Anolis sagrei: one gene and its partner. The protein of the gene in region 2 purifies or fractionates together with the protein of the main gene of each other region. This does not show direct contact. Links are inferred from orthologs where the notes say so. Each region holds a gene or a part of one and is shown on either strand. Other genes may lie near its edges.

Region 1 (7,066 bases), on a different chromosome or scaffold from region 2:
TCTATGATACTATGTGTGTGCGTCTCATATTTATCTATCTATCTATCTATATCTATGGATTGGTGGCTCTTTGTCAGAAGGGCTTTGATTACATTTTCTTGCCCTGGTGAAGACAGCTGGACTGGTTGGCCTTAAGTATTTTCTGTTGGCCATGGGGGTTCTGTGTGGGAAGTTTGCCCCAATTCTATCATTGGTGGCGTTCAGAATGCTCTTTGATTGTAGATGAACTATAAATCCCACTAAATACAACTCCCAAATGTCAAGGTCTATTTTCCCCAAACCTCATCTGTGTTCGTATTTGGGCATATGGAATATTCGTGCCAAGTTTGGTCCATACCCATCATTGTTTGAGTCCACTGTGCTCTCTGGATATAGATGAACTACAACTCCCAAACTCAAGGTCAATGCCCACCAAATCCTTCTAGTGTTTTCTGTTGGTCATGGGAGTTCTGTGTGCCACATTTGGTTAAATTCCATCATTGGTGGAGTTCAGAACGCTCTTTGATTGTATGTGAACTATAAATCCCAGCAAGTACAACTCCCAAATGACAAAATCATAATTTTTTGAGTGATGGGCACTCCTTGTGTTGCAAGATGTTTTGTTGCCAATTTTGATGTGATTTTGTTCATTGGTTCTTTTGTTTTTAAGGTACTCATTATGCACAGAGCATCCATATATATATATGGCAGGGGATGGCTAGTTTTAAATAGAAGTATGTGTATATATATTATTATTATTTGTTGAAATTCCCTAAAACCCATTAAAGACTGTATAAAGGGCCTGGACAAACTTGGTCCCTCCCTCCAGGTGTTTTGGACTTCAACTCCCACAATTCCTTTTTTAAAAAAAATATATTTTTATTGTTTTATCATAGTTATTACATTTGTTATACATTTGTTTATAGCAGTTACATATTATTCAGCACACTCTTTAACATATAGTCTTATTCTGCTTAAGCATTTCCCCCCTTTTTTTCCCACCACTGTGCTTCCCTCCCCCCAACTCAAGCCACAACTTTTACATATCATTTGTCCAAAATCTCATTTCTTCTTGTGGCGGTAAATTTTTTAAACCATTTACAACAAATTTTCCCCATACAACATCAAAATCACTTTTTTTCCATATACCTTTTTTTAACTTTTAATATACATGTCAGCTTATCGTTTATTGCCAGTTTCCATGCTTCCTTGTACCACTCCTCTATTTGTATATTTATTTCTTTTTTCCAGTTCCTTGCTATGAGCAGTCTTGCTATTGTTAATAAGTTTGTTATCACTTCTTTATCCTCCTTTTTCAATTGTTTATTGTTATATAATGATAATAAAGCTATACTAGGACTTTTCTCAATTTTCATATACATTATCTCTCTTATTTCTCTAAATACTTTCTCCCAAACATTACTTACATATTTACATTGCTACCACATATGTATGTATGTTCCTGGTTCTTGACATCCTCTCCAACAATTTTTGAATTACTTTTATTTATATATTCTATTTTTACTGGTGTCAAGATACCACTTCCATATTAGCTTATTATAATAATTTTCTTGAACCCGTATTGATAATTCTTTTAAATGTCTTTGTCTCCATAATTGTTGCCACTCTGTTTCGTTTATTTTTATCCCTAAATCTTCTTCCCAAACCTCTTTGAGGGTGTTGTTTTTTGTGTTTCCTTCCTTTATTTCAATTATGATCTTATATATTTTACTAGTTCAGTGGTTCTCAACCTTCCTAATGCCGTGACCCCTTAATACAGTCCCTCATGTGGTGGTGACCCCCAACCATAATATTGTTTTCATTGCTACTTCATAACAGTCATTTTACTACAGTTATAATATAATGTAAATATATAATGTAAATATCTGATATGCAGGATGCATTTTCATTCACTGGACCAAACTGGGCACAAATACCCAATACACTCAAATGTGAATGCTAGTGGGGTTGGAGGAGGATTGATTTTGTAATTTGGGAGTTGTAGTTGCTGGGATTTATAGTTCACTTATCAAAGAGCATTCTGAACTCCACCAGCAATGGATTTGAACCAAACTTGGCTCCCATGACCAATGGAAAACACTGGAAGGGTTTGATGGTCATTGACCTTGAGTTTGGGAGTTGTAGTTCACCTATATCCAGAGAGCAGTGTGGACTCATGCATTGGTGGATCTGGACCAAACTTGGCACGAATACTCAATATGCCCAAATGTGAACACTGGTGGCGTCTGGGGGAAATAGATCTTGACATTTGGGAGTTGTAGTTGCTGGGATTTATAGTTCATTACAATCAAAGAACATTCTGAACTCCACCAACGATAGAATTGGCTCAAACTTCCCACATGGAATCCCCATGACCATCAGAAAATACTGTGTTTTCTTATGGTCTTTGGTGACCCCTCTGACACCCCCTCGCGACCCCCAGGTTGAGAAACACTGACCTAGTTCTTTCTCTCAAATTTTCATGCTCTTCTACAACCCTTCCATTCTGTATTATTTGTTCAAATTGGTTAAGTTTGCTTCCATAAGCGGCTGAGGGGGTAAAGGAAAGGACCTGAGGCTGTTAGGAATTGTGGGAGTTGTAGTCCAAAACACCTGGAAGGAGGGACCAAGTTTGCCCAGGCCTGCTGTAAAATGTGGCTTTCAAAGACTACAAAGCCCCTCCTGGCTCGCTCCTGATCCACTTCCTTCTGAAAAGAGAGGCTTCAGCGTGGGCCTGTGTGATACTCCAGAGCCTGCTCCTCCTCCGCCGCCATTTTGGAGCCGCGGCCCAGTGACCCTTGGCGGGCTCCTCTTCTTCGGAGGGCTCCGCCGCGGCTTCCCTGCCGCCACGCCGAGGCCTAGCTTCCGAGCGTCACGCCGGAAAGGCCCCCTCCGCTCCCTGGCGCGCCCGCGGCCCCGATGGGCTTACCTTCCGCCCGGACGAAGCCACGGCGCTCGCTCGCCCGCCCGCTCGCCTCAACGCTCTCCTCCGCGCCTGAGAGAAAAGGGGCGGGGCCAACGGCCGCAGAGGCCACGCCCCCTCCGCTCACTCGCGCGCCCCTCCCCGCCACCTCATTGTCACACTCCACAAAGGAGCCCGCTGCCGCCTGTGGCCACGCCCCTCATCCCTCTCTCTCTTTTCATTGGAGGAGGGACTGAACCTTCGCTTCCTATTGGTGGGCAAGGAAAGGAGGGGTTTTCTCTCTGTGATCGAATGTGCCTTCAGAGTTGCTATGGTTACTAGCCCCTCCCGCCATTCATTGCTCCGCTCTCGGCTTCCTATTGGCGGTTGCTGGATTAGCCCCGCCCCTTCGCTGTAAGTGGCTGGCGCCAGGAAAGGCAAGTTTCAAATGCCTGCCAAAGCTTATGAGAAACTATAAACTACACAGAGAAGCCATTGAAACTACACATATAAACTACACAGAGAAGCCATTGAAACCCATACGTTTTGCATGGTTACCTAATGCTTTAGCTTTGCTCGTGGACCAGATGGTTTGTTTGTTTTAATTATAGTATTCTCCACTCATTGTTTCTGTTTTAATGGATTTTGAAACATTATTATTGTTGTTAACACATATTATTATATTCTGCCAGTAATGTCAACGACTTAAATCAAGACATAGTTTTCTTAGATCTACAGAGACACTCGCTGGAACACCCCAGCAAGCGAGAGTCCAAAAGTGGCAGGCCCAAACTCAGCACCTCAATTCATGGGTGATACCAGATGAGAGACTCCCCCCTGGGCACTCAGAAGACTGGGTGACTTGGAAGGCACTGAACAGACTGCGCTCTGGCACCACGAGATGCAGAGCCAATCTTAAGAAATGGGGCTACAGGGTGGAAACCTCGTCATGCGAGTGCGGAGAAGAGCAAACCACTGACCACCTGCTGCAATGCACCCTGAGCCCTGCCATATGCACAATGGAGGACCTTCTTGCGGCAACACCAGAGGCACTCCAAGTGGCCAGATCCTGGTCAAAGGACATTTAACCAACTACCAAGTTTGCAAAATCTGTGTGTTTTTTTCTTTTTCTTTTTAATCTGTGTGTTTGTTTTGCTCTGTTAGAATTGTAATACAATGGTATGGTTGCTGATGACACGATAAATAAAGTAATGTCACTCAAGGTAATACATAGCATAGCAATTAACAATTATACAAAAGTATACATAACTCTATTTCTGCTTCATTGACTACTCTAAAGCCTTTGACTGTGTGGATCATAATAAATTGTGGCAAGTTCTTGGTGGGATGGGCATACCAAGCCACCTTGTCTCTCTCCTGAGGAATCTGTACAAGGACCAAGTAGCAACAGTCAGAACTGACCACGGAACAACAGACTGGTTCAAGATTGGGAAAGGCGTACGGCAAGGCTGCATACTCTCACCCAACCTTTTTAACTTGTATGCAGAACACATCATGCGATGTGCGGGGCTGGATGAATGCAAAGCTGGGGTGAAAATTGCTGGAAGAAACATTAACAACCTCAGATATGCAGATGACACCACTCTGATGGCCGAAAGCGAGGAGGAGCTGAAGAGCCTTCTAATCAAGGTGAAAGAAGAAAGCACAAAAGCTGGGTTGCAGCTAAACGTCAAAAAAACCAAGATCATGGCAACAAGAATGATTGACAACTGGAAAATAGAGGGAGAAAATGTGGAGGCCGTGACAGACTTTGTATTTCTAGGTGCAAAGATTACTGCAAATGCAGACTGTGGCCAGGAAATCAGAAGACGCTTACTTCTTGGGAGGAGAGCAATGTCCAGTCTCAATAAAATAGTAAAGAGTAGAGACATCAGACTGGCAACAAAGATCCGTCTAGTCAAAGCCATGGTATTCCCTGTAGTAACCTACGGATGTGAGAGCTGGACCTTAGGGAAGGCTGAGCGAAGGAAGATGCTTTTGAGCTGTGGTGTTGGAGGAAAGCTCTGAGAGTGCCTTGGACTGCGAGAAGATCCAACCAGTCCATCCTCCAGGAAATAAAGCCCGGCTGCTCACTGGAAGGAAGGATACTAGAGACAAAGTTGAAGTACTTTGGCCACATCATGAGGAGATAGCAAAGCCTGGAGAAGACAATTATGCTGGGGAAAGTGGAAGGTAAAAGGAAGAGGGGCCGACCAAGGGCAAGATGGATGGATGGCATCCTTGAAGAGACTGAACTGACCTTGAAGAAGCTGGTGGTGGTGACGGCCGACAGGGAGCTCTGGCGTGGGCTGGTCCATGAGGTCACGAAGAGTCGGAGATGACTGAATGAATGAACAACAACAAATTCTTCCATATGGCAATGGCTGCAAGAATTGTACTAGCAAGAAAATGGAAGAATAAAGAGAAACCAACGGTGGAAGAATGGATGTTTAAACTCCTAGACATAATAAATATGGACACTCTAACACAGCACCTGGAATATAAACAGACGACTGGCATAGCCAGGACAGATTGGTCTCCAATCAAAAAATACTTCAATGTCAACCAGACCTAGACATGTGAGAGTCAAGACTAGAAAATAATACTAACACTAACAATGTTATATGGGGCAAAATCAGTAATTAAGATCACGAACTCTCCCCGACCCATTTCCTACTCCCTGTACTCCCTTCACTCACCTCTACCCCCTCCCCCACCCCAATCCTTATCATTTGCTTTTACGTAATTGTTGTGTCGACGATTCTCATAACATGGATGTATCCCCCATGTAGAAAACTCTTAATAAAAATTTTAATTTTTTTTCCTGCTTCTTGGCAGGGGGTTGGACTTGATGGCCCTCGAAGTCTCTTCCAACTATGATACTATGATTTGGGGACATGGAGGTCTCATTCATAAGCTTGCCATAAGTCGAAGGTGACTTGATGGCAGTTAGGAGCAACTTTCCTTCCGCTGTTCTTGGGTGGTTCTGCTGCATTTCTTCTCTTCTTCTCCCTTTCCCTTCCAGCTTGCCTGGCCTGTTCTTGCACCTTTGCCAATCCTTTGGCTGCTTCTTCTGCTGAGCTTGGCTTGAAAGGCCTTGGGCGCTTTCCAGAGTTGGCTGGCTGCCTTTTCTGATCAGGAGGGAGGAGGGGAAAGGCAGGTTTGCTCCAGGCGACAAGGAGAAAAGAGGAGAGAAAGGCAGCGGGAGGCAGCAGCCTTGCAGCTCCTGACTTGCAGCTTTCTTTGGGAAGGGAAGAGGAGGTTCAAAAACTGGAAACAGAAAGGCAGGAGGAAACGGCCAGAGATTTCTATCTAAGCACCCAGGAAAGGCAAACAAGCTCAACGCGATAGAAAGAAGGGAAGAAAGGAGAAAAAGGGGAATCTGTAAACACCAAAAGATACAGTATTTCAGTATGTATTGGCCATCAATGGGGTGCTGTTACAATATTTCCAAACTCACACTACAGCTTCATTCAATCAATCCCATAAAGCAGAGATTTCCAAACATTTCATGTTGGTGACACACGTTTTAGACCTGCATCATTTCGTGGCACACTCATTCAGTTTTTCTCTCAAATTGGAGATTAAACCTGTTGGGAGCATGTAAAAATCAGTTCGGGACTGTGTTATTTGTTTATTTATTTGCTGTCTTTGTATACCGCCCTTCTCAGCCCTCAGGCGACTCAGGGCGGTTTACAGAGGCAATGACTCGATGCCCAATACACCATAATAATAATAATAATCATCATCATCATCTTTATTTATACCCCCCACCATCTCCCCAATGGGGACTCATGGTGGCTAACATGAGGTCAAGCCCAAAAAATACAGTACAACTGTCGCAACTTAGGGTAGTTTTCACCTTGCTCAAGACACCACCATACACCAAAGCTGTAGGTTTTGTAGTTTATTGAGAAAAAGCAAAATCAAAACAGAGAAATAAATATGCAAAAATTCAATAGGCAAAACAGAGTCTTAAATGCAAAGACAAGCTTCACAAGATCCACAGGCAAATAGCATGAAGCATAATCCCTTAGCAATGTCAAACAAGAGTCCATGGCAAACAGGTAAAATCAGGATCAGAATCAAGTCTCAAAGGAGCCAGAGGTGTTCCGCAAAAGCCAAGGTAATTCCACAGAAGTTAATGGGTAAGAAGCAACATTGGGCTGACAAGAAATGCCTGTC
Region 2 (7,133 bases):
CACAATGTGAATAAGCATAAAAAACCAGATTGTTATATCCACCCCAGTTGATGGGCCTGGTTTCCACATGAAAGGCTTCCTCATTTCTATGGCTACTGGAACACAAGGACAACCATGTTTTGTCTTCAAACAATCTAGTTCTGTTGCTTAGACAAACACAGAAAATGCACACAGATCCACTCCACCCTGTTCCACCTATATCTGGCCATTTCCTCCCAAGTCATTCTGCCTCTCCATTTTATCTCTTAAGCTAAGGCCAAATATTCTCAGTCCTGGCTTGCAGAAGATGGATTGCAGGAGGGAGGGAGGGAGGAGAAGAAGCCAAGCGTCATGTGCTATGATGAACATGCCCTGGGCCACTACTCCTTCTTGTCCTCCTTCTCTTCCGTCCTCTCCACACGCATACACCACAGAGAAGTCTTTCCCCTCTTCAGGTCATTTCTCAGCCACTTGCTCACTTTTGCATCTCCCCCCCCCCCCCCCTTTTCATTTCCGCTCCCAGTTGATTCAGCAAAATGGACTGCTGCAAGATTATTGCTGCATTCCTGCCCACAAGAAGCCTGTCACCACCTGTCTTAACCGCAGTCTTGCCATCTCACTGCGTAGAGCTTGGGCCTGTCATGATCAGGATCCATCCAAGGCCTTTGGAATGGGCTGGGAGGATTGTGGCATTGTGAAGCTTTCATAATGCAGCTCCCCCCCCCCCCCCCCCGCTCCAGTCAGATGCTATAAGCTCAGCTTCTCTAAGCCACCATGAATTGATTTCACACTTTCCCTGAGGAATGGAGAGGGAGCCAAAGGAAGCCAGTGGCTGGTTCACAAGGGAAGCTGATGGCCCATTGCTGGGGAGGGATGGGGGTGATTGAGCCACGGGGAGTGGGGGTTCGGAACTCAAAGGAATAGCCCAGCCAAGGGGCAAGTTGGGTCCGTCATCATCAAGATCCATCCAAGGCCTTGGAGGATCGTTGCATTGTGGAGCTTTCCTAATGCAGCCAGTGGCTGGTTCACAAGGGTAGCTGTTGGCCCATTGCTGGGAAGGGCTGGGGGTGATTGAGCCACGGGGAGTGGGGGTTCGGAGCTCAAAGGAGTAGCCCAGCCAAGGGGCAAGTTGGGTCCGTCATCATCAGGATCCATCCAAGGCCTTGGAGAATCGTGGCATCGTGGAGCTTTCCTAATGCGGATCCCTCTCTTCCCCTCCCCAGTCAACTGCCATAAGCCCTGCTTCCCTAAGCAATCATGAAGCTGGAGAGAGGGAAGGGGGCGAGAGAGTCACGGGGAGATCAGTGGCCAAAGGAATAGCCCAGCCAAGGGGCAGGTCGGGACTGTCATCATCAGGATCCATCCTTTGGGGAAGGACGGACGGATTATTGCACTGCCCAGCTTACCCCCCCCCCCCCACCCTAAAACGCACTGCCGTAAGCCCTGCTGTTCTAAGCCACCTCTTCCCCTGAGCAAAGGAAAGGGAAGCCAATGGCTAGTTCACAAGGGAGGTTGCCAAATGGGACCAGAATCCAACCCAATGAAGCTGTGTTGAGGGGGGGGGGGGAATCCTTAACCTCCTGGCCCCACTGAAGGCCCTTCCGCCCTGATCCACCTGCTGCTGCTGCTGCTGCTTCTCCTCCTCCTGCTTCTTCTGCGGGAGTCTCCGGCTTTCCTGGCATCACTGCATTATGGCGCGCGCGCCTTGGCGGCCCGGGCTCCGAGGCGGGTCCCCGAAGCAGCCCACGCTTCACCCGAGGCTCGGCCGCCCCAACCCGCCCCACGCCGCGCCGCGCAGCCCGGACCACAACCCATTGCCGCCGGCGGAGGCGCCTCCCGCAGCGGAACCGAAGGGTGCAGCCCCTGAATTCCTGCTTGCCCTCCCCCGCCTGCCTGCCTGCCTGCCTTCCTCGCCCCCCCCCCCCCCGCCTCCCTTTCCCCTTCTCTCTCTCTCTCTCTGTCTGAATCCTACCCCGCCGGGCCTTGTGTTACCTTCGGTTGCATAGCTGTGATCGCGCAGGAAACTGTTGTTTATCTTGCGGGTATCAATGTCCTCCTCCATTGACAGCGGGCTTACTTTTGTGGGAAGGGAGAGCAAGCAGGCAAGTATCCATCATCGCCCCGCCACCACCGAGATCAGCGGAGAGGCGCGAAGCGGGGGAGCAGCCGGGAGGCCAACATGCTCCTCCTGCCTCTCTGCAAAAAGGGGGGCGGAGAGGAGGAAAAAAATCAAACCGAAGGAGGGGGGGAGGGAAGGAATAAAGAAGAGGTTACGCTTTGAAAAGGGCAAGCAAGCGAGCTTTCACCTCCTCCTCCTCCTGCGGCGGTGGCAAAGGTCCAAGTGGCTTTCTCTTCCTGGCGCTGGCGCGAAGGTGCCGCCCGCCTCCGCCTCCAGCCGGGGATGATGATGCTGGGGAGGCGCAGGGCGGAGGGGGAGGAGGGCGAGGAGGAGGGCGAGGAGGAGGGCCACGGGCCCCTCGGGTGCTTGGGGCAGGCGCGCGGGCGGGGCGCGAGCAGGGCCAGGCCCAGGCACACGCTTCCTCTTCCTTTGCCTCCGCCTCCTCGGGCTCCTTTCCCTCTCCCTCGCAAGGCGGCGGCGGCGGCGCAGGTCCCGATGCCCAGCGAGGTGGCTGCTGCAATCCCGGCTCCCAGGGCGCAGTGCTGCCGCAGCCGGGCGCCTTCCTCCTCCTCCTCCTCTTCTCCCTCCTCAACAGGTTCCCCCGCTGGCCCCGCCGCCGCCGCTGCTCTCCTCGGCATGCGAGACGCCCCCGGCCCCGCAAGATGCTCTCCCCAGTCTCCTTCCTTCCTTCCTTCCTTCCTTGCTTCTTTCCTCCCCGCGGTGCGGAAGGAGAGCGGGAAAGGCAGGCGGAGGAGGAGGAGGAGGAGGAGGAAGAGGTCTCTCTCTCTCCTTCTCTCTCTCTCTCTCTCTCTGCGGCAGGCGAGGCTTGGCTGCGGCTGACTGCTGCAACGCGCCGGGACCTGCCACCGAGCGCGCGCGCTGCCGCTGCTGCTCCTTCTGCTGCTGCTGCAAAAGAGCGAGTCCTAGGGCTTAGTTGCGGCAGCGGCAGCGGCGCTCTGCTGGAGCCTGCTGGTGCATTCACACCCCGAGGCTCCTCCCATACAGCTCGGCTTCGGCCAACCGCGGCAACGGCGGCAGCGGCAGGCCCGAGACTCGGCCCCGGCAGCGGCAGCAACGGCGGCACTGCGGTAGCGCTTCTCAGCGTTGCCTCCCCGGGAGAGGGACGGAGCGAGGGGAATGGCCGTTTGGGCAAGGCCAGGCCTAGGAGGAGGGGGCGGCGGGCTGCGGGGCGCAGCCAGGGAAGGAGGCTCCAGTCCAGAGGAAAGGGAGCTCCGGGGGCGCGGCAGGGACGGAGGGAGGGAAGGAAGGACAGCGCTCTCCCAAAGGGGCTTTCTCTCCCCCCCCCCCCTGTCCTCTACCCGTCCTTTCTCTCGCCTCCCCCCCCCCCTTTCCCATCCATCCCCGGAGCGCAGTGGTGTCCGGTATTGATCTCAATGCGTTGGAATTTGGGCAGCGGGGCCCTTTGGGGGTGGGAGGGACGCTTGTTGCCTGCCTGAGGAGCTTCCATCCTTAGGCTGCTTTTATTGTCATATAGACAGTAAAAAACCCCATTTTTACCTGGACGCAGAAGAACTTGAAGAGGAAAGGGTTTTAAAAAGCCCAAGTGTTTGAAAAAGCCGTCCCATATCCCAGGTAAGTACTTGAGCAGGACACAAAACTCTAAAGATGGTGGTTTCCAACCATTCCTTGACCAAGGACCACTTTGACCAGGACCTCTTGACTAGGGACGTCTTGACCAGGGATTCCTTTGACCAAGGACCTCTTGACCAGGAACCACTTTGACCAAGGACTTCTTGACAAGGGACCACTTTGATCAGGGACCACTTGACCAGGGATCTCTTTGACCAGGGACCACTTTGACCAGGGACCACTTTGACCAGGGACCTCTTGACCAGGGACCACTTTGACCAGGGACCCCTTGACTAGGGACTTCTTGACCAAGGACCACTTTGACCAGGGACCACTTGACCAGGGACCTCTTCACCAGGGACCTCTTCACCGGGGATCTCTTTGACCAGGGACCTCTTGACCAGGGACCAGTTTGACCAGGAACCTCTTGACCAGGGACTTCTTGAACAGGGACCACTTTGACCAAAGACCACTTTGACCAAGGACTTCTTGACCAGGGACCTCTTAACCAGGGACCTCTTGACCAGGGACCTCTTGACCAGGGACCCCTTTGACCAGGGACCTCTTGACTAGGGACCTTTTGACCAGGGATCTCTTTGACCAGGGACCACTTTGACCAGGGACCTCTCAACCAGGGACCACTTTGACCGGGGACTTCTTGACCAGGGTCTACTTTGACCAGGGACTTCTTGACTGGAGACCCCTTGTCCAGGGACCATTTTGACCAAGGACCTCTTGACCAGGGGCCACTTGACCAGGGACTACTCTTCAACATTACTACCAAAAGGGTTTTGAATCAGTCTTTGGTCAACTTTAGATTTGATTTGGTCATTTGGGGTGCTGATTCAGAAAATTGCATTGGATAGACCACATCAGTTCTAGTTTCTGATACAGAACATATGCCATCCAGTAGCCACCATCTGCTTGTCTACAAAAAACCATATTTAATAATCTAGAGCTGATGTGGTCTATCTAATGCAATTTCTGATTCAGCACATCAATTAACAGGTTGAAAAACAAAGAGACCAAGGCACCCCCACTTCCAGGTGCCACATGGAATGGCTCCGCTGTGTGGGGGTGGAGGGGAAGAAGCATCAGTCAGTAGGCTTGTTGTCATGCGTTTTGTGTGTAGGCACTCTGAGAGGGTTTTGCGAGACCAGTTGCTCTTGTTGCAACGGTGTAGTAACAGTGAGGTCACAGACTATATTTTAGTCCTTGGGGACCACTGGTGGTCCATGGACCACAGGTTGGGAACCATTGTTCTAAGAGAATCAACTTGGTATAGTGCTTTGAACCTTAGGCTGCTCCTCTGGAGGCCAGGATTCAAATCCCCCCCCCCCCCCAAGCCACGGAGATCTGCTGAATGGGTGACCTTGGGCAGGCCACACTCCCCTCCAAGGAAGCCTGTGGTGCTCCAGCCCAACAAATCTTGACAAGAAAACCCTGCAATGCCTTCATTATAGAGTCATAGTTGAATCAGGGAAAAGGCACACAACCACAAGACTAACATCAGTCACACATCTAATCACAAATCACAAATACAAGTCCCACAAGTGGTCTGATTTAAAAATATAAGACTCCCTCTGAATCCGATACAGCTTTGAAAATTGATGCCTGGAAGATTGGAAAGTAGTGTCGGCCATAGACATTACCGTGCTTGAAAATAGAAGTAAAAATGAAGTACCACTCTGCTATTTTGAATCTCATTTTATTTTAATGTCAAGATTGGAGGGAAAGAAAATGGTACCCATTTGGTAATTGATACCTGACACAAGCTGGACCAGCCAAGATAAATAGAAACCTCCTACTGAGAGCACTGTGCTGGTGGCACAGCAAATTAAGCTGCTGAGCTGCTGAACTTGTTGACAGGGAGCGGGGTGAGCTCCTGCTGTTAGGCCCAGCTTCTGCCTACCTAGTAGTTCAAAAACATGTGAATGTGAGTTGATCAATAGGTACCGCTCTGGTGAGAAGGTAATGGGGCTCCATGCAATTATGCTGTCCACATGACCTTGGAGGTGTCGATGGACAATTCCAGCTCTTCAGCTTCGAAATGGAGATGAGCACCACCCTCCAGAGTCAGACATGACTAGACTTAATGCCAGGGGAAACCTTTACCTTATGGAGAGCACATGGTTTTATGCCATACCACTGGTACCCCAACAATGGTAACCTTCCTCTCGGGTTCTTTTAGCTGGATGACAACCTAGTAATTATACACCAGACTGTTACTTAACTAGAGACAGAGTGGCATAGTGCTTACAGTGTTGGACTAGGATTGAGAAAACTGGTTCAGACTCCCATTCTGTCCTGAGGCTCAACAAGTGACCACAGACTATCTGTCACTATCTGTCAGCCTGACTTATCTCACAAGGCTGTGAGGATAAATCAGGGAGGATCAAGCAGCAGGAAAGGCATGACATAAATGGAAATTAAAAACCTGAAGGCATGCCTACTTACAAAGAACATGTCCCCTAATATGCAAGTTAGGAAATCTATTCTGGGATGTGCTGGGAAAGGAAATTGGAGCATGGATGGTCTTGCCTGAGGACAAGCACTGGCTAGTTCTGTATCTTACTCCCTATCTGGCCTATCTCTAGATTTACAAATAGCTATAAAAACACAACTCTTCTCTAGCTTTGTCTTTTCACGGGATGCAGCTAGTCCTTGAGGACTGCTTTTTCATTCTGCCCACCAAACATTTTGCTGTACTTCACTTTTCTCTGCTTAACCTTCATTTTGAAAAAGATTATTGTAAATTTGACATATTTGCTGAGTATACAGTGCTTTGGTTGGTTCTAATAAAGGTATTACATGACACTGGCATTTGGATTATTTTTTTCTCTCCGATGGAGCACTTTTATCACCTTGAATGACCTGAAGGAAAGCTTGCATACAAAGGCAACAAATGAACATGATTACTTGGACGATATGGTCTTCCATTGCCAACTTAAAACATTCCACCACTCAGAAAAGAAAGGAACCCAAAGTCCAGGCCCATAGCCAGGATTTTATTTCGGGGGGGGGGGGGGGGGGGTAAAACATTTCAGGGGGGGGGTTCGGGGGGGGCTGAGTTTTTGGGGGGGGCTGAGTCTGAGTGAAAGAGGGTCTAGCCTAGCAAACCTTTTGTATCATTACCCCAATACCCCCATGCATATGGGATATATTGAGTATGGTGATCAGATCATGATATGAATAAACATAACAGTTTAAATAATGCACCAGTAAGGGCTTTTCGCGAACCACCATGAGAATTTCGGGGGGGGGGGGGGCTGAAGCCCCCCAAGCCCCCCCCCCCCCCCCCCCGGCTACATGCCTGCCAAAGTCCCTACTAAAATGTTCTGTCTCATTTGTTCTTTGCACATGTTAACATTCTGCTATTATTTAAGAATTTCATAGGCTTTATTCTTTCTATATTTCCCAAAATTTGTTAATTACACATTAAATC

The links.
Region 1: the proteins of PPP2R2B (region 2) and CDCA4 purify together in Homo sapiens (affinity purification with mass spectrometry; 4 studies listed by BioGRID and IntAct, with this or other methods). This does not show direct contact. The link is inferred for Anolis sagrei from reciprocal best matches to the Homo sapiens genes PPP2R2B and CDCA4.

Annotation. Positions count from the first base shown.
Region 1 is NC_090021.1:328,645,952-328,653,017, forward strand, and holds the start of CDCA4 (cell division cycle-associated protein 4), read right to left. Parts: upstream 3,014-7,066; 5' UTR 2,909-3,013; intron 1-2,908. UniProt on the Homo sapiens protein: May participate in the regulation of cell proliferation through the E2F/RB pathway. May be involved in molecular regulation of hematopoietic stem cells and progenitor cell lineage commitment and differentiation.
Region 2 is NC_090022.1:98,183,558-98,190,690, forward strand, and holds the start of PPP2R2B (serine/threonine-protein phosphatase 2A 55 kDa regulatory subunit B beta isoform), read right to left. Parts: upstream 3,017-7,133; 5' UTR 2,737-3,016; coding exon 2,286-2,736; exon of another isoform or gene 2,042-2,285; coding exon of another isoform or gene 1,972-2,041; intron 1,860-1,971; exon of another isoform or gene 1,662-1,859; coding exon of another isoform or gene 1,595-1,661; intron 1-1,594. UniProt on the Homo sapiens protein: The B regulatory subunit might modulate substrate selectivity and catalytic activity, and might also direct the localization of the catalytic enzyme to a particular subcellular compartment.